Regions from separate parts of the Mus musculus genome. Here all the other regions are reported to be linked to region 1. The links are microRNA targets in miRTarBase. Many come from high-throughput screens and were not tested one by one. Region 1 holds a microRNA gene; each other region holds the end of a gene's coding sequence.

Region 1 (7,194 bases):
TCCAGTTCAAGGGGATTCAATGCCTTCTTCTGACCTCAGCAGGAGCCAGGCATATACATGGTGCACATATATATATGTGGGTAAAAACAGCTATAAAATAAAATAAAATAATTTTTTTTTAAAAATTGAAAAGTCCCCAAACCCCAAAACAAAACTCTTTGGCTTTTCGATTTTTACTGACAATGAACAGGGATGATTTCAAATCTGGACATTTAGAAGGAATGTGTTATTATTCTTCTGGGTAATCTTCACCCAGAGATTGTTTTTAGTCGTCCTTATAGTAGCAAATCTTTTATTACTTGACAGGCACCACTGTTCCATCTAGCCCTTATGCAGCAGGAAAGCAGGTCTGGAAAGAACACCTTGGTTCCTTTCCATATTTGGACCCAGAATGGAGCCTACCACAGAAAGTGCTTGGTCGGCTACACTACAGCTATGTATCCCTCCACTTTCCTGACCTCAGAAATTAAGCAAGACCAACCTGCTTAGTCCTTGGACAGGAGAGCATGGCAGTTATGTTTGTTGAATGAACGAATAAAGTAGTTTTGTTTTTGGGTGTTTGTTTGTTTGTTTGTTTGTTTTTCGAGACAGGGTTTCTCTGTATAGCCTTGGCTGTCCTGGAATTCACTTTGTAGACCAGGCTGGCCTTGAACTCAGAAATCTGCCTGCCTCTGCCTCCCAAGTGCTGGGATTAAAGGTGTGGGCCACCACTGCCGGGCTATAAAGTAGTTTTTAAAAGAAGTCTAAACCACATTGTAGCAACTGACAGAGACAGTGGAGTTGACCACAGGGCAGCTTCTGTCTGGGGACTCAGTTTCTCCCTTTCCCCCATTTTCCCCTCTCTCGTTCCTAACCCTCTCTCTGCTTTCTCTCCCTCCCTCTCGAATCTCTACTCTCTATCATTGCCACTGTCCTCTGTGCCATTTGTCTTTCTGTCCTATGGTGGTGAGCAAGATAGACCACTTTGTCAAATCTTCATTCTATAAAAGAGGAAACTGAGGCAAGAATTCAGAGATGAGAAGGAGGACTCTGCTAGATACAATTCTACAGGTAAAAACTGCCCCCCAAAAGAGAGATTCTCTGATTCAGTATTTAATGGACAGATACAAATCTAAAGACAGGCATGGTGATTTGGGCCTTTAATCCCAGCACTGGGAGGCAGAGGCAGGGGGATCTCTGAATTCGAGGCCAGCCTGGTTTAAATAGCAAGTTCAAGACTAGCCAGAGCTACATTGTGAGATCCTGTTTCAAAATCCTCAAAACAGCACAACTACCACCACCACCACCACTACCACCACCTATTCGTAGCAAGTACACTGACTAGCTAGGCTACGGTCACATGAACTGATTCTAGGCCAATCAATAGAAAAAGGAAAAGGTGTTAGGATTGTCTGCTGGAGTCCTGTGGGAGAGGCTTGGCTATTTACTATGACTGACAGTTTTTCCAGAGTCTCATGATTATGATCGGGGAGGGATATATTATGAAGGCAAAGAGCCCCTTCCCAAACTGTTACAAGACCTGGAGGCTAGAGCCTTGGCAGCAGTAACAGATGGAAAGCCAAATGTCTGGAGTTGGGGGCCTGAATTCTCCCCTCGGGATGAAGCTGGCCTGGTAGGAGCTGGAGAAGCCCAAGACAAATACAAAAGTTGGAAATGGTCTTTGAGAGCCTAGCTGCTTTTTTTTTCTTTTTAATCTGCCCTTCTTTGAATAGAGAAACTGCTGTAAATTTATCTCTCACTACTGAATCAAGTCTGCATTCTGGGAATTCGTGCCATCGTTTTCTGGGGGCATTTTGCACTCCCCACTCCCCAAGATACAGTTCCACCCTCAGGGTATAGCCCAGCCCGAATTTGGAAACTGGATTTGTCCTTGACAGGTTCCTCCAGACGCTCCTGACTGCTCTGTGACAGAAGCCATCTGTTCCTGCCTCTGCCTGTGCCCCTGTCATCTTCCTCTGCTTGAAATTCACTCCCTCATTTTCTCTGGCCCTTCCAGCCCCACCCACCTTTGAAGGTGTTCCTCAAGTCCCACATGCCTCCCACTGTCTTCTAAAGTCACCCCTGTCTGTCCTTTAGGTCCAGTGTATTATAGTAGAAAAAGGCCTGTAGATCAAGACTCAAGTTGGCCACCAGTTCTTTGCAAGACTTAGCTGGGAGTTATTTCCTCTCCCTGCAACTGCATTTCCTCTTCTGAGCACCGAGGGAGGACTGGTTTGTTAGAAAGGGAAACCCTCCCCCCTTCTGCACCACCCCCACTCCGGGGGCCGCTTGGCATCCTCCCAACTAAGAGGCATGCTGTCTCCATCCGCCACATTCTAGGATATTCTGATTCGGAAATGCAAGTCTCCACTTTAGTCCACTGCTAAATGAGAGAGCCTGGAGCTCAGTGATTAAATTGATGGAGTTATTACTTTCTCCGCCCCAGAGGTGAGACTTCCCATTTCAGGAAGGGTCCCACCTTGGCTCTTCTCCCTTTTCATAATCCTTGCCTAGCAAGGACCAGAGTGAGGTTTATGTGGAAGGAGGTCGCTTTCATCATTCAGGGTAGAAGGAAGTTTTCTGTGAGATTGGGCCTGGCATGGAAGAAGGTCACAAGACCCTGCCTATTTCTGCTTTCAACCATACAGAGCAAGGGATTTGTGCATCCAAAGTCTCTCTGGCTCCGGTTCATCTTAACTCCCACTTCTCTCCTATCCTCCCTTCCCAGGAAAAATGTTTCTAACTAAATGTGGCAGAGTCAAATGTTTATGAAAAACCCATTGCCAAGGATATGTCTGGCTGTGTGGTTGCTCTAAAGCAGACGGGTGGGGCGTGAGGCTCTGTGGGATGAATGATCTCCCAGTACCTTTGTGAATGACTGCATCTCTCCCACTGCACTAGGTCTGCTTGAGGGAATATACGGATTTTGCTACAGTGCTTTAGCTCTTGGGGGAGAGTTTTCCTGGAGTGTTTATAAATGGCTCAGAGTGGACTCTAGCTCCTCTTCTAATGTGTCAAATCTGAGAAACATTAATAAAGCCTTTAGGAGGGGATAGCAAGATGGCTCAGTGGGTAATGGAGCTTGCCCCTTAGCTAAGGGACCTGAGTTCAATCCCAGGAATCTACATGGTGGAAGGAGGAAACTGACTCCCACACGTCCTGTGATGTCCACAAGTGAGTCAGAGTGCACATAGCCCTCCACCTCACATACCCACAAATGCCAATAAAATGGCACAACAGTAACAAAATCCCAAGAAACCAAAAATACTCCTGAGAGGAACCAGTCAAACCATGGTTGTACTAAGTCCCCAGATATAGTTCCATCTCTCTTACTAAGAAAGAAGAGGGAAAGCTGAACTGGGAGGTCTCCTGTACTCAAAGGAACATCCAGGGATTTAGATGGATGGACAGTAGATGGGGAACTACAGCCAGTTGCTGGCATCTGTCATTCATGAGTGGGCCTTCTGGAAGGTCTTTCCCTGGCTCAGGCATTTCCCAAACTAGCCAGTGTGTCTTGAGGCCAGGAGCAATCATCCAAGTGCCACCTTCCTGAATTGCTCCTGGGAGAAAATAAGCCCCTTTCAACTCTCTCTGTGTTTAGAGTGTTTGATTAGATAAGAGCCATCGGTCTGCTTAGCAGTCACTGGTATTACTCTGTGTGGACCCAGAGGTTTGAGAGAGGCTCTCACTACAGAGTGAGAGCAAACACCCTCCCCCAGCTCCTGGAGCTCTGATTACAAGGCTTGAGCTACCACACCTGGCCGTTACAGTTGTGTTTTTATTTTATTTCTTTCTTTTAGTGTGTGATGTTTGTGTGTGTAAATGTGTTTTTATACTTGGACATGTGTGTGAATGCATAGAGGCCAGGAGTCAACCTCAGATATCATTCCGCAAGAGATCCCCACCTTGGTTTTTTGAGACAAGGTCTCTCACTGGGACCTGGGGCTCCCCAATTCAGTTAGATTCCTAAGGATCTACCTCCCGAAAACTCAAATATAATTATCAGTTTTTAAAAAGTGTATTTGAGTCTTTTGCGCACATGTACGTATGAAGGGCAGACCTTATGGTGGTCCTGTAGGCTTTTCCTAGACAAGTTGGAAAGTGTGGTCTAGGCCAACCACTGCCTGCATAGAAATCTTTCTCTATACATGGGTCAGGGTTTCACGATTAAAAAAAAAAAAAAATCAGTGTAAAGCCAAGTATGTGGCACTTGCCATTAATTCCAGCACTCTGGGAGGCAGAGGCAGGCAACTAGTTCTCTATGAGAGTGAGGCCAGCCTCACTATATACTGAGGCTATAGCCACAGTTAATTACATTAGGTGACCTTGTTTCAAGTCCCACCCCACCCTCCAAAATCAATGTAGACTCTAGTACTAAAATAAAATAAGTTTATTCTTTTGCTATAAAAGAAAAACATTTTGTTTACACAATAATTGGTAAAAAAAAACAATAAAAATATAAAGACAACAATAAACATCACCTGTAATACCAGAGACATAAGTTCTGTTCAAGTTTTGTCATGTTTCTTCCTAGTCTTCCCCCCATATATTGATACAAAATTATGCATGCAAAATGTTCCCAATACGCTTATGTTATGTATTCAGGAACATACTGCAAAAATAATTCTGTATCTGATTCCTATTATAAAAACAAACCATAAACAACTATGGTTAGACTTGCAGCTTCTTTCTTCCAACCTTTTGCCTGTGTATTGACACAAAGCTATTTATGCAAAATGTTCCCAATATAATTATAGCACATATTAGGAACACATCGCAAAAACAGCTCAGTATCTCTCTTTGGTCACTGGTGGTGCTACAGCTTGGAGGTGACTGTCCATATGATGGATGCAGAACCATGAATGCAAAGCATCCCCAATATACTCATAGTACATATTAGGAACACATCGCAAAAATAGTTCAGCATCTTGGTTTGCCTTTCTCCTTCCTCTATCATTCAACCACAGCATCAGTCCCCAGCATATTTGTTCAATAACATTAAAGCACAACTCAGGATAACTATAATATTTTGATCTGTTCTCTTAGCCTTATATCTGTATATTGATCCCATGTATGTAAAATTAAAACGGAGAAGAAAATATTTTGCATGTTTATCATTAAACGCTTTTTATTAGTGTTTGTGGCACATCTTTATGTCACAAAAATTATTTTCAGAAATATCAATCTTAATGATAGCATCCTATCACATTGTCTTAGAAGAGCATATTTTATTTATGCAACCCTTTACTATTAATAAGTCATTTTATCCTCAAAATGACTGAAGTGAAGGGAGGTGGTAACCCCAGTGACATAGATGGTGAGGCAAATGAGCCACAGATGCAGATTCCTCCTGGCAGGCCTAGAGAGTGATTTAAAGCCAGCATGAGCAAGTTAGTGAGGCCTAGTCTCAAAAAAAAAAAAAAAAAAAAGAATTGCAAGCAGGTATGATGGCATACACTTATAATGCCAGCCCTTGGGAGGGGGAATTAGGAGGGGAAGGAATTCAACATGAGCCTCTGCTACACAAGTTTGAGTCTGGGTAACATAAGATCTTGCCTCAAAAATAAATAAATAAATAAATAAATAGTAATAAACATCCTGATGTTTTTTCATTTTCCGTGACTTTCCGTGGCTTGTATATTTATCTTCATGGCTATTTATATGACTCCACATTTTTAAGGTAACCTGTTTTTCTAAAGCTTACAGCTAATGTTTTTCTTGTTTGAGGAAAAACATAGTTTTAATATTTTAGCCTATATATAAAACCATATGTCCTGTCTAGGCTTCAGTGGACTGAATAGAAATGCAAATTAATAAAACCCTTCTCATTCTATAAAAACACAACCCATACCCTCCCCCACTCCATGGCAACCCCTTTCCTCCTTGCCTAGGGCTCAGTCCTCTCCTGACCTCTCATCTCTGTAATACTCACCCCACCAATTCTTAGGAAGAGGAGTGGCTCCCAGACCTTTCAGTTATCAATCTGTCACAAGGGCACAGTGGTATCTCGTGACATGATGATCCCCGAGACGTCTGAGATCCCTGCATGTGTAACCTCAAATTTCTGGATCTCCCAGTACCCTTAAAGACCTTTTAGCGAGTAGCATTTCACAATGGGACACAAATCAAAGCACAACAAAACAAAGAAACAGCAAAACTGTGAAGATGGGGAAAAAAAAACAAAACAAATAAGCAGCTAACCAACCTACTACAAATTCTGTTTTTAAAAAGTCTCTTTGTTTTGCAGTTTCTTTCCAGTTTCTACTCTACTTTCAGCCACCAGAGTTAGTGTAATTCTGTGGCCTTGATTTTTAAAAGCTTGTTATCTTAAGAATGTTTCTAAGTTTCTAGGTAGTTTTTATGATTATTCACAATGACTAAAAACGTTCTTTTGAGGATGCCACTAAATTAATCTCTATGGTTAGTTCATATTTGCTCCCTTAATTTACTTGAGTCTATAGAAAGGATCAAAGCTTTAAAGTGAATTCACTTTACAATTTTTAAGCTTGTACACATTGAATCATGCATGGGTAGGTGACTTACAGTCATTACTTAATCATGAAGTCAATCTTGAGCCTCAGTTAGGAAGTGTCCAGCAGTTAGACTCTCACTCGTCCTTCTTAGGACTAGACAGTTTCAACTAGACCTTTTCTAACCAAACACACTAGTTCAGCTCCATTTTCTGTCCTAATCACTATGGTGTAAGCTTCTGATGGCCAGGCAGGAATGTTACCTGGCACAGCATGAAGTCTGCATGATGCAGTTTCCCAGGTTTCATCTTCAGAATCCTCAGGTCTCTCGAAACTTTGTCTGCCTTACTTATCTCTCAAAGTTGTAAACAACAAATCTATGAAAGCAGTTGGGGCCGTAAGTGAACAGAGGAAATGAAGGCAAGTGCTGAGATGAGGATTGTAAAGATTTGGTTTCTAGGGCACAAACATTCTGCCTTCACTCTGCAGAGTGGAGGTGGGGGAGGGGTAGCAAAAGACCCGAAGGAAGGAGTCAGGCTGCAAAGCAAGCAGTATTCCCAGCCCCCAACAATGCCCCCGACTTGGAGCTGGGGAGGGGAGCGGGAGGGGGGGAGTGCGGCGGAGGGGGCGGGAGGGGGGCACGCTTTTCAATTTTCACCACTTGCTCCGAAGACAGAGCTCAAGAGTAAAGGGGAGTGCTCCAAGGCTGAGGGACCACAGGAAATGGAAATCGTTAGAGGCTCCT
Region 2 (7,194 bases), not on the chromosome of region 1:
CACTGAAGCCGCTTTCTAGAAAACACTGTGGACAGTGATCCCAGCCCCAAACTGCCTTCAGTCTTCTAGCAGAGAAAATAAGCAGCTTGTTTTGAGCAAGATAACGAAGCTAAAGCATTCTCCCTGCAAAGGCAATGCTGTGGGCGCCTTAGACCTAGCCACGCCCTGTGGCTCACGGTCAAGGGGCTTTGCCTTAAGCTACAAACTCCACTTAGGGCTTTCTGCAGGCGGTGTGACAAATCGAGGGAATATTCTGTGTCCTGGGATATCACTTCCCGCCGGAACAGCTTGTGATTGGACAACCACAGAACCAGCACTGTGGAGGGGAAGTGTCGCCCCGCAGCTACACAGGCTTGTGCCTAACTCCTGTCTTTTCTTTTTCCCAGGGAGGAAGAGACAGCCGCTCTGGATCTCCCATGGCGAGACGCTGAGAGCCCTCCCCGCTCAGCCTTCCCGAATCCTGCCCTCGGCTTCTTAATATAACTGCCTTAAACTTTTAATTCTACTTGCACCGATTAGCTAGTTAGAGCAGACCCTCTCTTAATCCCGTGGAGCCGTGATCGCGGTGGGGCCAGGCCCACGGCACCCCGACTGGTTAAAACTATTCGTCCCTTTTCGTTTGAAGATTGAGTTTTCTCGGGGTCTTCTCAGCCCTGACTTGTTCCCCGTGCACCTTGTTCGACTCCGGAGGTTCAGGTGCACGGACACCCTTCCAAGTTCACCCCTACTCCATCCTCAGACTTTTCACGGTGAGGCACACCCCTCCAGCTTCCGTGGGCACTGCGGATAGACAGGCACACCGCCAAGGAGCCAGAGAGCATGGCGCAGGGGACTGTGTGGTCCAGGCTTCCTTTGTTTTCTTCCCCCTAAAGAGCTTTGTTTTTCCTAACAGGATCAGACAGTCTTGGAGTGGCTTATACAACGGGGGCTTGTGGTATGTGAGCACAGGCTGGGCAGCTGTGAGAGTCCAGAGTGGGGTGGCCCTGGGGACACTTCCAGGCCAGCTATCCCCTGCACCCCACCAGCTGATTTCGAGCGTGGCAGAGGGAAGGAAAGGGGCGAGTGGGCTGGGCAATGGCCCCAACAGGAAACGGGGACTTAGGAGAACACGCTGGAGATATGTGTGGCCGCCAAATGTCACCATCTCTCCTCAGTGGCTCCCCAGAGCTGGTGCTTTTAAGAACCCTGTTTCCTCTCAGAGCCCAGGGAGAGTCCAAGGACATGGCGCATCTGGAAGTGGGACTGCAGGAGTTCTCTGGTGGCCTCGTGCTGTCCCTCTGGCCACTTCTCATGGTGGGGTGGTCAGCGGCAGCTCGCCATGGCAGTGCCCATTGGTACACACTAACCTCGGTGGAAAAATAACCATTCCCTGCCTCCTAGAAAGGACTCATTCTTAGCTTTAGGGGGGTTCCTGTCACTGAATCGAGTCGCTGCCCTGGATGCAGGGCTGGCCTGGGCGACGCTCCAGGGATGAGGAGCTGAGAACCCCAGTCTAATAATGTCCATCGACACCTCCTTATCCCTCTAACGTACTATGTCTTTTGATTTAGCATGCCTTCTGTAGACCTTCCAAAGAGCCCCACACTGGCACCGTCACCCCTAGGAAGGCAGGTGATGGTTGATGTAGCCCAATACTGCATCTTGTTAATCTGTTCTAACTCTGAGTAGAGTGTGGGTTTAAGATAACACCGATTAATGTATCGCCACAATAACGTGAGGGTAAGAGAAAAAGCAGGGAAGAAATTTCCAGAAAAAAACCCTCCAGATTGTCCCACGGGAGTGTTTGCCCTCCAGTGTGACTGAACGACCTTGCCCATGGCTTCGTCCAGACAGCGCAGCTGCAGTATGGCTGGACAGAAGCACCTACTATTCTTGAATATTGAAATAAAATAATAAACTTGCAATGATCTTTGCCCAGGTGTCTCATTTTGCACGGCAGCCTGTAGGCGTGAGCCCGAGTGAAGCACAGCCTCGTCGCAGGGTGGAGGGCTCTTCCTCAGGGGCACCGGGTTGCTTCACGGTGCCCTTGGGAGAATACCTCAAGGGGCACGTTGAGGAGGCCATGCATTGATAAATCAAGAAGATGGAGTAGAGGTGATGTGGGACAGTGACCCACAACACACAAGGAAAAGGATTTTCAGTCACTCTGAGGACACTTTTCAAAGCCATTGTCCTAGGAAACACTGCAGAAAAGCGGGTCACGCGCTTTATCCACGGCGGACGGGGATTAAGTGAAGCATTCTTCCCCCCTCCCCCCATTTGTCCTTTGTTTCTCTTGCCATTGATTTTGGTTATGAGACTTCTTTTTCTAAAGGATTACCCGAAATCTCTTCTCCTGTTGGTTTTGAGAGCGCTCCTGGCCCCTTTCTGAGTTTCCAAGGCAGGCTATGGAAAACCATCAGATTTGTGAGCTGTGGGAGGAAGGCTTGCCATGGGCCAACATTACAGTCTTTCTCTGGGGCATGTTGTTCCAGCACAGGGAACCAGTGCAGGTTCCTGGGGTCCACTGACTGACGGGAAACCTTACCTCCAGGGCTCAGGGGCTCACGTCTATAATTCTAGCACTCACAAGGTGGGGGCGGGAGATTGCATGAATTTGAGGCCAGCCAAAGTTATGTAATGAGTTCTAAGCAAGAGACGCTGTCTCAAAAATGCATGCCTTTAATCCTAGCGCTGGGGAAGCAGAGGTTGAGCTCTGTGAGCTTGAAACCAGCCTGATCTACAAAGTGAGTTCCAGTACAGCCAGGACACAGAAAAACCCTGTCTCCACACACACACACACACACACACACACACACACATCCACTACCACCACCACCACAACAACAACAAAACAGACAACAAAAACCCACCAGGGGCTAGAGAGTTGGTCAGCCATTAAGAGTATTGACTGCTCTTGCAGAGCATCTGGGTTTGGTTTCCAGCAATCACGTGGAGTTCACAATAGTGTGTGACTAAAGTTCCAGGAAATTTGGTACCTTCTTCTGGTCTCCGCAGGCATCAGGCACACACAAGATGCACATGCATACATGCAGGTACACACAAGATGCACATTCATACATGCAGGTGCACACAAGATGCACATTCATACATGCAGGCACACACAAGATGCACATGCATACATGCAGGTACACACAAGATGCACATGCATACATGCAGGCACACACAAGATGTACATGCATACATGCAAGTACACACAAGATGCACATACATACATGCAGGCACACACAAGATACACATGCATACATGCAGGCACACACGAGATGCACATACACACAGGCATACACTAGATAAGCACACACACACATACATGCAGGCAGGTGTTCACACACATAAAAATATTTTTACAATCTTACAAAGATAACAAAAGGCTGATGTCCAATCATCTCCTTGTCCTTTTTAGCCAACAAAATCCTCCCAAATAAAGGATCTGGAAATACAAAGATGTGTGCACTGTTTAAAGATGCATTGCTGCCGCAATCTCCATAACCTCATAGGAGCAGCTGCTCCACCGTGGTCACTCACCACCCCTGGCTCTATTTTAAAGTCTTTCCGCCATCTCGCCATCTCTCCTGCAATGAACCATGAGCTGCGGGAGAAAGGGATATAACATCCATCTCCCATTTAGGGCAGAGCATTCTGCCATCTTTTAGTCTCTGCACCATGGCCAGTTGTGGGTCTCTGCACTCATCACCCTGTGCTGGTTGGGTTTTGTCAACTTGACACAACCCTAACCATATCTTGAGAAAGAGAATCTTAATTTAGAAAATACCTCCATAGTATTGACCTGTAGGCAAGCCTGTAGGGCGTTTTACTAATAATTGATATTGTAGGGTTCTCCCTACTGTGGGCAAGTGATCCTGGATAGAAATCAGGCTGAGCAGGCCACAGGGAGCGAGGCAGTAAGCAGTACCCCTCCATGGCTTCTGCTCCAGCTCCTGCCTACAAGTTCCTAGCTTCCCTCAATGATGGACTTGTAAGTTATAAGGTGAAATTGGCCCTTTCCTCCCCAAGCTGTTTTTGGTCATGGTTGAAGAGGAAACTTCTGGTCTCTTTGGAAAGTCAGTCGTGTCAGATGATGTTTTGCTGGGGCACACAGGTGAAAGGATGTTTTGCTAAAGCAGACACGTGAAAGGCTGTGTGGTGTTTAGAAGGAATGTAACCCTGACCCCACAAACAGTAGGAGCTCGAGTGTTGGTTTGACTTGCCCACCTCACTAGTCTTCCCTAATGACACACATGTATCGGCTCACCTTACATTGCATTGCTGAGCCAAGCTTGTGGTGCCTTCATAGACAGAAACTCGCCAGAGAACCTCTTGTGGGGTTCCTGAAGCTTCTTGCTACTTCTACAGACTTGGGCAGGTTGGCCATCCTTGAGGGTTTCTTCTGTATTGAACTGCCCTTGCTAATTTGTGTGTGGTGTCTGCCAAGTAGACTGGATGCAGCCGCTGAATAATGAAGACTGAAATCGCCCCCAAAGAACTATTTCTAAACATGTCCACTTCCCTTGTATCACAATAACATTTCTTCTCCACTACTTCTGTAGAATCCAAAATAAATTCAAGACCACCCAGCCCCTTCCCCCTCTGAAGGGACTTTCCAAACTGTACTAGCAGGCCAAGTGCAGAGCCAGATAAGGAAGCTGGCTGACTAAACAATGCTGAGAAAAACCCTAAGGGCAGGCAGAGTGAGGGACTAGGCCAAAGGTAGTCACCCCATGCAAACCAACCAATGCCTGAAAGGGTTACACTTGCTACAACAATTAGAATAAGCCAGCTAGCCCTGTTGCCTAAATCTGCCCCCTACAAGGTATAAAAAGTGTGGGTTTTTTTTTTTTTTTTTTTGTTCAGGGTCTCTCCTCTTGCCTGTGTGCTGAGGGGGGGAGGCCCCAATGCATTGGAATAATTAAAAAAAAAAAAAAAACTCTGTGGTTTGCAACAATGTCGGTCTCTGTGATTTTTGTGAGTGAGGGTCTTTTGGTGGACTCCAACACTTCTGGTGGGTGGTGGGCTAGAGAGGAAGTTGAACCTTTATAAAAGTAGATTGTGAGAAATATGTGCCTACACATGGTGTTTTATCACAGGAAGAGAAACCACACCAAGATGCCATCAGCTGCAAAGAGAAGCTTCTCTGATGGGTTGAGAGAGGCACTCATCTATGGATAGAAACACAAGCCTGCACACACACAAGCCAGACAAAACCCGGGCATGGAGAAAGGTGGTGTGAGATTTCCCAGCCCTAGCCTAGTGGTAGCTGCTAAGAAAGGGAGAGCCAGTTTTCTTTTAGAGTGCTGCTTCTGGTGAGTTGACCACGCCCCAGTGGAAGACCACACATCCAAGAATATGAGAGAAACACGTATTGGACTTGTGTGAGTGTAAGAAGGCAAGATTCCCCAGCCCTCAACACCCAGCCAGGATTAGGGCTCTGCTTAGCTCCAATCACAAAGGTGGAGGTTTGACCACTCACTCAGTACCAATGAAGCTATTCCCCAGCTCAACCACCAGGGACAGTGTTCCTCTTCCGGCATAGCTGGGGCTGATTGCTGTGTCAAGGGAGGTTCATCTAGGCTCCTCAGAGCCAAAAGTCTGGTGTGAACTGCTTCAAACAGCCCAGCTGAGGATATACCTACAGGAACTGGGGCCGTTAGATGTCTTCTGACTGGTGCTAGCCATAAAGATAGTGCTATTGGTCATTTAACTGGCAGTCCCATTAGTCAAAGTAGCTGGGACAGGAACTAATTAGGTACTCAAGTTAGCCCATCCCCCAGTGTCTTCACTGTAGGGAAATGAATGTCAGAAGAAATGCTTACAACAACTCATTACTGAGCTGGGGACATGACACAGCAGGTAAAAGTGATTGCTGTCCTGCAGGACAATCTGGTTAGACCCCTGGGACTCCATAGTGGAAGAGTAAAACAGACTGAAATTTGCACTCTGACTTCCACAGTGTGTTTACACACACACACACACACACACACACACACACACACACACTACATTTAATATACAAATTTAAGAACTCCATCGACAATAATTATTTTAGTGGCTCTTAACTCCTGCCCAGTGCCCAATGCTGGCCCCATCTGTCTCATAAACATAGTAACAGTGGTAGTTAACACTCAAGGCATGAATGGGAACAGCAGCATTCAGCCATAATGATGCATGTTTATTTTTACCCAAGTATTTCTTATTCTCCTCAACCCCACACTGGGAGCTAAGACTCTACAGTACCAATGCCTCATCTTGATATTGGGATTTGCCTATTGCAGACCTTGAACAGTCACTGGAATGGCAAATGAAGTGATATTAGGTAAGAACGACCAATCAGATGCATGCTTAAGAGAACTATCTTTAAGGTCAATCATGTGAGAATACCACTATGCATGCATATATAGATTCCTAAGTGCAAAGGCAACTGAAATAAATTATCCCAATATAAAGCATTTATTTTGGGGGCTGAGGGTATAGCTAAGTTATAACTTGTTTAGTTAGTTTGCATGCACAAGCGTTAGGGTGATCTTTTGTGCACCATATAAAGATGGTCTTTGTATTATTCAAATGCTGGGTAGAATGTTGAGAGCATAGTGGACTTTGGTATTTGCACTGGCTAGTTTTGTGTCAACTTGACATAGGCTGGAGTTATCACAGAAAGGAGCTTCAGTTGGGGAAATGCTTCCAGGAGATCCAGCTGTAAGGATTTCTCAATTAGTGATCATGGGAGGAGGTCCCCATGTGGGTGATGCCATCTCTGGGCTGGTAGTCTTGGTTCCGAGAGCAGGCTGAACAAGCCAGGGGAAGCAAGCCAGTAAAGAACATCCCTCCATGGCCTCTGCATCAGCTCCTGCTTCCTGACTTGCCTGAGTTCCAGTCCTGACTTCCTTTAGTGATAAACAGCAATGTCAAAAGTGTAAGCTGAATAAATCCTTTCCTCCCCAACAAAAAAAAAAAAAAAAAACAAAAAAAAAACGACCAATCAGAATGTGCAGCCAAGGATACATTGCTTGTTGGCCATACGGTTTACACCAGTGTTTACAGTGTAAATCAGATGCCAAGGTCAGAAGGCTATGCATGCTCACCAGGTATCTATGAGGCAGGGGAGGGACCCTACTCTCCCATCTCCACTCCACTGGACTGCCCTCCATTGTGAACTATCATACAAACTGCTGGGACTCGCTATCACTTCCAGACCATGAG
Region 3 (7,194 bases), not on the chromosome of region 1:
CTCTTTCTGTCTTTTTCTTTCTGTCTGTCTTTGTCTGTCTGTCTGTCTTTCATCCTTCCTTACCCCCCTTTCTTTCTGTCTTTCTCCTTTTTTTTTTTTAATACTCAGTCTCTTTAGATGTATGAATGTTTTGGGTGAGTGTGTTCGTGTGTCCTTGAAATAGAGTTCTAGATGGTTGTGAGCCACCATGTGTGTTAGAAACAACCCAGGTTCTTTGCTGGAACAGCAGGTGGTCCTGACCACCAGACCAACTCTCCAGCCCTGCAGTCTTTTGGTTGATTGAAAAAAATGGAGACCTTGTTTTATGAAGCTCTGAATTAACTGTAAGAAGCCAGACATGCACACTTGCTGACTTTGGTTCCACTCCTTCTCCTCAGAAAACGGTGAGGATGTACCCTTTCCAGATCCACAGCATCGCCCTCTCCACCTTCGCCTCGCTCATCGGCCCTTTCGGAGGGTTCTTCGCCAGTGGATTCAAACGGGCCTTTAAAATCAAAGTAGGGGAACTCTGCCCCACCTGCCTCTCCCATTTCACTCCTGGTCGCCCATCTCTTCCCCGCCCTGCTCCATCAGCTTGCACCCCTCATACCAGGTCACGCCCCTGCACTTACTGTGTGCTTTTCTTTACCCATGTGCTGAATTTGGGGGACAGTAAATGAAAGTGCAAGTATCTGGTTTGCTAGTGCTTCTTTCAACCAGAGACCGCGTTGTAATTTGCAGTCCTGTCCTGTGATCACCTGGGCATTTGGTTGTATGCCTCTGTCCATCACCTTCTCTGCCCAGCAGGGTTTTGGTCATGGGTGGATCCATTAGTCTGGAGTTTGGTTGTTGGTGAGCCCAGGCCCATCCTTCCTTCCTTTTCCTCTAACAGGATTTTGCCAATACCATTCCCGGTCATGGAGGCATCATGGATCGCTTTGACTGCCAGTACCTGATGGCCACCTTTGTCAATGTGTACATCGCCAGCTTTATCAGGTGCGGAACTACTCCACCGGATCCAGATATTCCACCGGATCCAGCTGAGTGGGCTTTGAAAGCATGAGTGTTTACAAATCCTCTGAGGTCTCTCTCCCTCCACTAATAGTGAATCCAGGGCTCATAGCACCCCATGGGTAACTGGGCCAGCGAGGCAGCTGGCCCCTGCTCAGGGGTGCCTTATGTTCTGTTGTAGGGGTCCAAACCCAAGCAAACTGATCCAGCAGTTTCTGACGTTGCGGCCAGATCAGCAGCTTCACATCTTCAACACGCTCAAGTCTCACCTAACTGACAAGGGGATTCTGACATCTGCCTTGGAAGATGAGTAGAGTCCACCTGGGGCCCAGAGAGCTGGAGCAGGATGGAGTGGGGGCCAGTCGCCAAGGCCGCCCAGCTGCTGTGACTTAGATAATGAAAAGCTTCAACTCACCACCGTCATTTTTTTTTCTTTTTCCTTTTTGTGCGTGTGTGGTTTTTAATCTGTATATACTGTCTGTTTATAGTGTGGGCAGTGAGTAAGCTGTAGCTTTGAGTTGCAAAGAAGTCACAGGAAAGAACCATTTGGGTTTCTGAAGTACAAGTATTGAGCAACATGAAGGGCAGTGTTGCCCAGCTCAGGGTGTCTGCTTGGTGGCTCTAACCCCTGCCCATCCAGTTGTTTCTGGGCTGTGCGAGAGATCATACATTGATCTGTGTGTGATGAGTTGAGGGCTTTCCCACCTGCACGGGCCTTCACGGGCTCCACGCTTTTGCTGTCCTTGACACCTCTCGTTGGGGCTTCTGCAGGCATCTCTGTCTGAGAGCAGTGGGGGCTGCCCTCTGTAGAGCTGTGAGAGCAGTGGGGGCTGCCCTCTGTAGAGCTGTGAGAGCAGTGGGGGGCTGCCCTCTGTAGAGCTGTGAGAGCAGTGGGGGGCTGCCCTCTGTAGAGCTGTGAGAGCAGTGGGGGCTGCCCTCTGTAGAGCTGTGAGAGCAGTGGGGGCTGCCCTCTGTAGAGCTGTGAGAGCAGTGGGGGCTGCCCTCTGTAGAGCTGTGAGGGAGAGGCTTTCTGATCAGATGAACATCTGTCCAAGCCAAAATTCTGCAGAGGGCAGGTGAGCTTTGCTTATGTAGTTTGCTTTCACCATATAGACTGAGAGAAGATTTCAGACTTCTTTTTCTCAGAAAGCATGAAGAATTTATGAAGTATGGAAAAGAAGCCCTTACATATTCCAGATGTGTGCAGCAGGGGGCACTGTCCCAGCCCTCTCTGCCCCAGCCAGGCACAGTGGCCTCTAGAGGGTGGTCCTGTAGACCGCACCTTTTAGAGTCGAGGCCTCTGTGGTTGTGCCGCGGGTTTGCTGCTGTGCTGAGTCCTTCTGGGGGAGCCCTAAGAGGTGGGGAGCAGAGGACTTTTGCTCAGACACCCTTTGCCTGGAAGCCCACTTGTGTTGCTGCTGTGTTGTGTATATAGTATTCTCGAGATGAGCGTATGTGTGTCTGTTTAAAAGTCACCTTGTTTCCTACATGATTTTAGTCATACCCAAACGTCCTCAGAATCCCTACATCCTGCTTAGAACTGTGGCCGGCCTAATCTGTCAAGAGGCTTGGCTCTTCAAGACTCAGTGTCCACTTTATCAAATGTGACCGGTGTAGCTGTAGTTTGTACTTTCCTGGGGACCTTCTGCTGGGGTTTGTGTAAGCTGTGATTCTTTCCCTTCCTAATAGGTTGAGCTTGACATGGAAAGGAGCAGTTGGCAGGGAAGGAACTTATTCCCCAAGAGTGGTAACTAACCCACAGCCCTGCTCGGTGTGCCCACCGCTGAGAGGCTGCAGTGACTTCCCCAAGTACCGTGGTCTGTGCTAATTTGTTTTCAGATTAGTCTTCCTGTGGCCTCCAACACTCAGCCAGCCCTCAGAGTGTCCGCTGTGCGCACGGGGGCGGGGCGGGGCGGGCAGCTCCTTGTCTCTCAGCTTTGACTGACTTGTCCGCATTGGGGATTTTTGTTCTCAGCTCCCAGGCCGCACTGAACACAGTGTTGCTGCCTTCAGTTTGGTTCTGGCCATGAGGCCCCTAGTGGGAGCTTTGCCCTTAGGGCTGTCCTCTGACTTGCCCTCAAAGTTCACCAATTCGGCAACTCCATGGAGACGGTCGTGTCACTCTCAGCCCCTGTTGCTATTAAGTCATGTCATGGGCACCCGGAAAAGGAAATACACTGAGGTGTATTTTACAATTGCTCCTTAAGATTCTCAGTGGAGATTAGGAGCAACACTGCACTTCTGATAGAAAAATGGCCTTGGATCACTAAACTAGGTAGAGAAGGGCACACCACACCCCAGCGCCCCAGGAGCCAAAACTCACGCTCGGGCAGCAGCAGCTGAGGCTTGAGGAAGCTGGTGTCCTAAGACACTGAAACCCAGTGCTCATTGGAGCTGCCAGCCACAGGTTTCTATTCTGAGTTCTCCAGTCTTGTGAAAGAGGAGAATTTCCCAGTCAGGTAGCCAGGAGAACAGTGCCACCCTGCGATTGTGCCACCCTGTGATTGTATAGCGTGTTGTTTGTTCCAGTAAGCAGGCAGGCCCAGAGACTGCTTTCTCAGCACCGCACAGATCTCAGTGGGTCACATAACTTGCTTTACACTCATCTTGTTGTGTCAGAAATAAAGTGTTCGTGCTTTTCCTTGTCAGGAGTCCCGTGTTTGTCACTTGTTGTGTGGTTTTATGTTTCCCGCTGTGTGAGCATAAACACTGTGCAGTTTTCCTGCTTGCCAGCCTGTGTGCCATCTGTTCTCACAGCCTCTGAGATGTCTCAGGTGAGAGCCATGGGGTGGAACCATAAAGTCCCCATCTCAAAGTGTGCCTGTGGGACAGGGTTAGTAGCTACTCCCCGAGGCCCCAACCCGGGAAATACTGCAGTGTTCCTTCCTGCAGGCCTTGGAGCCCTGACCAGGCCAGTCCTGGGCACTGCTTAGATGGCTGTTAGCTTAGAACTGGTGAAGTAAAGATTTGGTCCCAGAAACCAGCCTGACATGAGAACAAGCCAGGGTGTCTTCCTGGTGAGTTCTACTCATGGTCGTTCTCAGGAAAACTGTGTTCCCTTTGTGTGTACGTTTCTCACCCCTTAACCACTTCAGTGTCAAAAAAGTTCCCATTGTGTCTTCTGAAAGTGAAGTCCCATAAGGAAGTTGGGAGAGAATGTGCAGGGTGCACACACGCATGTACAAACACACACACACACACACACACACACACACACACACACACACAGAGCCTATTTCACATTCTCAGACTTTTAGTTTCTGCTTTATAACCGCATTTAAAATGTATTCTTAATGTGCTGTAGTGTGTGTGAGCCGGTGTCCAGAGGTGTGAAATATACCATGTAATCTCACACAGGTGGACTGTGGAACCGTTTTTATGGATTTTGCCCCTGCTTGCTTTCATCCTGTAACCTAGCCTGTATTATACAAGAAAACTTGAGCAGGACATTTCAAGAGAATATGTTGGCCTAATTGTTGGGTTGGCTGGGACCTGCTCTGAAGGGATCCCTCAGTTCACCGATTGGCAAGCCAAGGTCAGTCCTTGCTGTTGATGGAGCTGGGAGGAGGAGGGACCTAAGGACTCAGGACAGAGCATCTCACGCGAAGTTCTGTGTGGCAGTCAAGTGTTCCTCGTGGAGTCAGCCTGAGGTAGATTTCCAGGAAAGCCTTTTCCTCGTTACCAGTGTGTGATGTCACAACTGAAACTTGTGTTAGTAACGTCTAAGGCCATGTTGCCTTTGTCTTTAGAGTAATTCCTGGCTGTGCCTACCACTCCTGCATACTGTGCTTATGTGCGTGCTGCGCTTTGATGGGGAGGAGGGCAGGTCCCTGTGCAGCCAGGGTTCTTGCTCCTTCCATGGCAGGATGAGAAGGAAGGCCTAAGAGGCTGGCCAGGGGCCTGGTGTAGACACAGTAGAAGACAGTCAACTATGGGCGCATTCTGTCTGGAGCTCCCAGAAGGAGCTGTGTGCTGCTGGAGAGGAGGCTAATTGTTGGTTCAGACTCCTCCGCTTGGGTAAAAGACTCCCCTTATCACTCTCCTCACAGTTGCTCTGCATCTTTAAAGAGTATTAGCTTCTGCTTCCGGACTCAGTCTTTGTTGAGTGGGCCACTTCCAGGGGTGTGCCCGGGGTTAGGCAAGTGGCAGACGAGGGTTCTTATTTGAGGCTTTGCTAGGCTCATCTGCTGTGTCCTGGGTAGTCCACTCATATTCTTGCAGGGTGAGTCCATGCTCAGGAGAATGCGGTCCACCTTTCTATGTACTCTAGCTTCCCTCTCTTCAGGTTGATATAGCGACATTACCTGGGCTCTGTGCTGTCCTGTGGGTGGAGGCCATTATCACTGGGCTGCTGCTTTCCTGGGCAAGCCACTCTCTATTTTTCTGCAAAGGTCAAAAGACCCTGGTGTTGGGGGCCCTTTAGAGGGTGTGCTTTGGACGCTGACCTCTTAGGGCTTTAGGACAGAGGGACGATGTTGAGTCTAGAAGGGCACAATATGCCAGAGTTTTATGGCCAGTGATCCTCAAATCCATTGGCTGTTTGAAGACCCTGTCCTCACTTCTCCTTTTTTCAGGTGACTCTCTGCTTGGCTCTTTATCTTACTCTTCAGCTAATGAAGTAGCAACAGTGTGTTACTAATGATTGCAATCATACAGTGCTTAATATGTGCCAGACACAGTGCCAAGGGCTTGCATGCATTATCTCCTTTAATCCACAAGCAGCTCTGGCGAGGTGGTATTAGCCCATCTTACAGATGGGAAAACTGAAGTTCTGTGCTAGAGATTGAGAACAATGTAAAGACTTGAGGCTTAGGTAGTGCTCTATCTGGTCAGGCTATAGGCTGCGGGCAGCCTTCACTTCCAACCAGCCGCTGTGAGGATTTAGTGAGCTAACGCATGTAAGCATTTAGCAAGGTGCCTGGCACATAGTAAGCACTCAATAAATGGTAGTTTTTTTGTTCTTTTAAACTGAGCTCAGCGAGTTTGGCCCACACTGGTGGGCTGCTGGGTATTCAGCCACCACACTCTTCACTGCTTGGACCTAGTTGGTGTTTGTGTTCTGTAAAGTGAGCACGTTGTCCTCCCAAGAGAAGCACTTCAGTGGTGCAGTGGTAAGAGCCCACAGCATTGAGGCCAGCCTGACTGAAGGATGATGTGAGGCTGTTTGTCACTTCTGTTCTTTTCCCCGTGGTTGAGACTGCCCACAGGAAAAGGGCTGGCTGCTCTGACATGGTGGGGCGTCTCCTGGGGCCTGGCTCGCTCTGGACCCTGCTCTCCCCAGCCACGTTCTGTAGTCTGTTGTACATCTCAGGAACCCTCGGTTCCTCCACGGATGGACGACTGCAGAATAGAGCAGAATAGAGAAAGTAAGCCTGAAGCTGAGTGCCTCAGCCACAAACCTAAAGGAGCTGCCTGTGTCTGACAGCACAGCCATTCCATCTCTTCCGTCCGTCTGTCTGTCTGGGTTGTTTTGTTTTGTTGTTGTTTTGAGACAGGGTTTCTTTGTGTAGCCCTGACTGTTCTGGAACTTGCTCTGAAGACCAGGCTGACCTCGAACTCAGAGATCTGCCTGCCTCTGCTTCCCAAGTGCTGGGATTAAAGGCATGCGCCACCTTCACCTGGGTTTTCTTTCTTAAAGGAACAGGTTAGAGCAAGTGACCGTTGAGGACAGGTGATGTGAATGTTTGTTCTAGATTTAATTCAGTTTTCTGAATGGACACAGGGAGTTGGGAGTATGTGTGTGTGTGTGTGTGTGTGTGTGTGTGTGTGTGCGCGCGCGCGCGCGCGTGTGTGTGTGCTTCACCTTGATTGAGTGGCATTGGCTCACATGACCCAGGAGATTCCCAGACTCTGTTAGTAGTGTCTAGGAACTTGTGTTCCAGCTGAGGAGTGTCCCAGGTGTTAACGAGACTGAGGCCTATTGCTGGAGTTCAGATACTGCAGCTCCTCTTGTTTTTCTGCACTGTGTTTGCCAGCCCTGCCCCCATCTGATGGACCAGGCAGTCCTTTATCTGGAGGGAAAAGTCTGATGCCAGCAGAGGTCCTGGGGCGCTGCTCTCCCAGGTCCTGGTCAGACTCAGCTCCATAGCTCTTGGAGGCTTTCCCTGGATTCCCTGAGTACAGTGTTAAAAGGCCTAACCACACAGCCACCTGCCCTAAGTGACATTGTGTTTTTAGGTGTCACCGTCTTAGCCCTTTGTTTTC

The links. Region 1 holds the annotated microRNA mmu-miR-450b-3p (AUUGGGAACAUUUUGCAUGCAU, at 4,542-4,563, opposite strand). A microRNA usually pairs through its seed, bases 2 to 8, with sites in the 3' UTR of a target mRNA and lowers its output. Matches are read on the target gene's strand: a 7mer-m8 pairs with bases 2 to 8, a 7mer-A1 pairs with bases 2 to 7 and ends in A, and an 8mer does both.
Region 2: miRTarBase lists Mbp as a target of mmu-miR-450b-3p. The part of its 3' UTR that is shown has no 7-base or 8-base seed match.
Region 3: miRTarBase lists Cds2 as a target of mmu-miR-450b-3p. Seed matches in the 3' UTR shown: 7mer-m8 at 6,570-6,576.

The regions. Positions count from the first base shown.
Region 1 is chrX:53,043,467-53,050,660 of GRCm38, forward strand. Mir450b (microRNA 450b) reads right to left here and starts at 4,612; the gene lies at 4,531-4,612. It overlaps Mir450-1 (microRNA 450-1), which reads right to left and starts at 4,778; the gene lies at 4,688-4,778. Mir450-2 (microRNA 450-2) reads right to left here and starts at 4,901; the gene lies at 4,833-4,901. Mir542 (microRNA 542) reads right to left here and starts at 6,021; the gene lies at 5,937-6,021.
Region 2 is chr18:82,583,726-82,590,919 of GRCm38, forward strand. It overlaps Mbp (myelin basic protein), which reads left to right. Exons shown (of 7, transcript NM_010777.3): 7 at 387-1,912. The coding sequence ends at 431. Among named protein-coding and RNA genes, the nearest start is that of Gm52337, 14 kb to the left of the region's middle.
Region 3 is chr2:132,303,982-132,311,175 of GRCm38, forward strand. Cds2 (CDP-diacylglycerol synthase (phosphatidate cytidylyltransferase) 2) reads left to right here. Exons shown (of 13, transcript NM_138651.7): 11 at 378-497; 12 at 872-975; 13 at 1,172-7,194. The coding sequence ends at 1,304. Among named protein-coding and RNA genes, the nearest start is that of Gm46766, 44 kb to the left of the region's middle.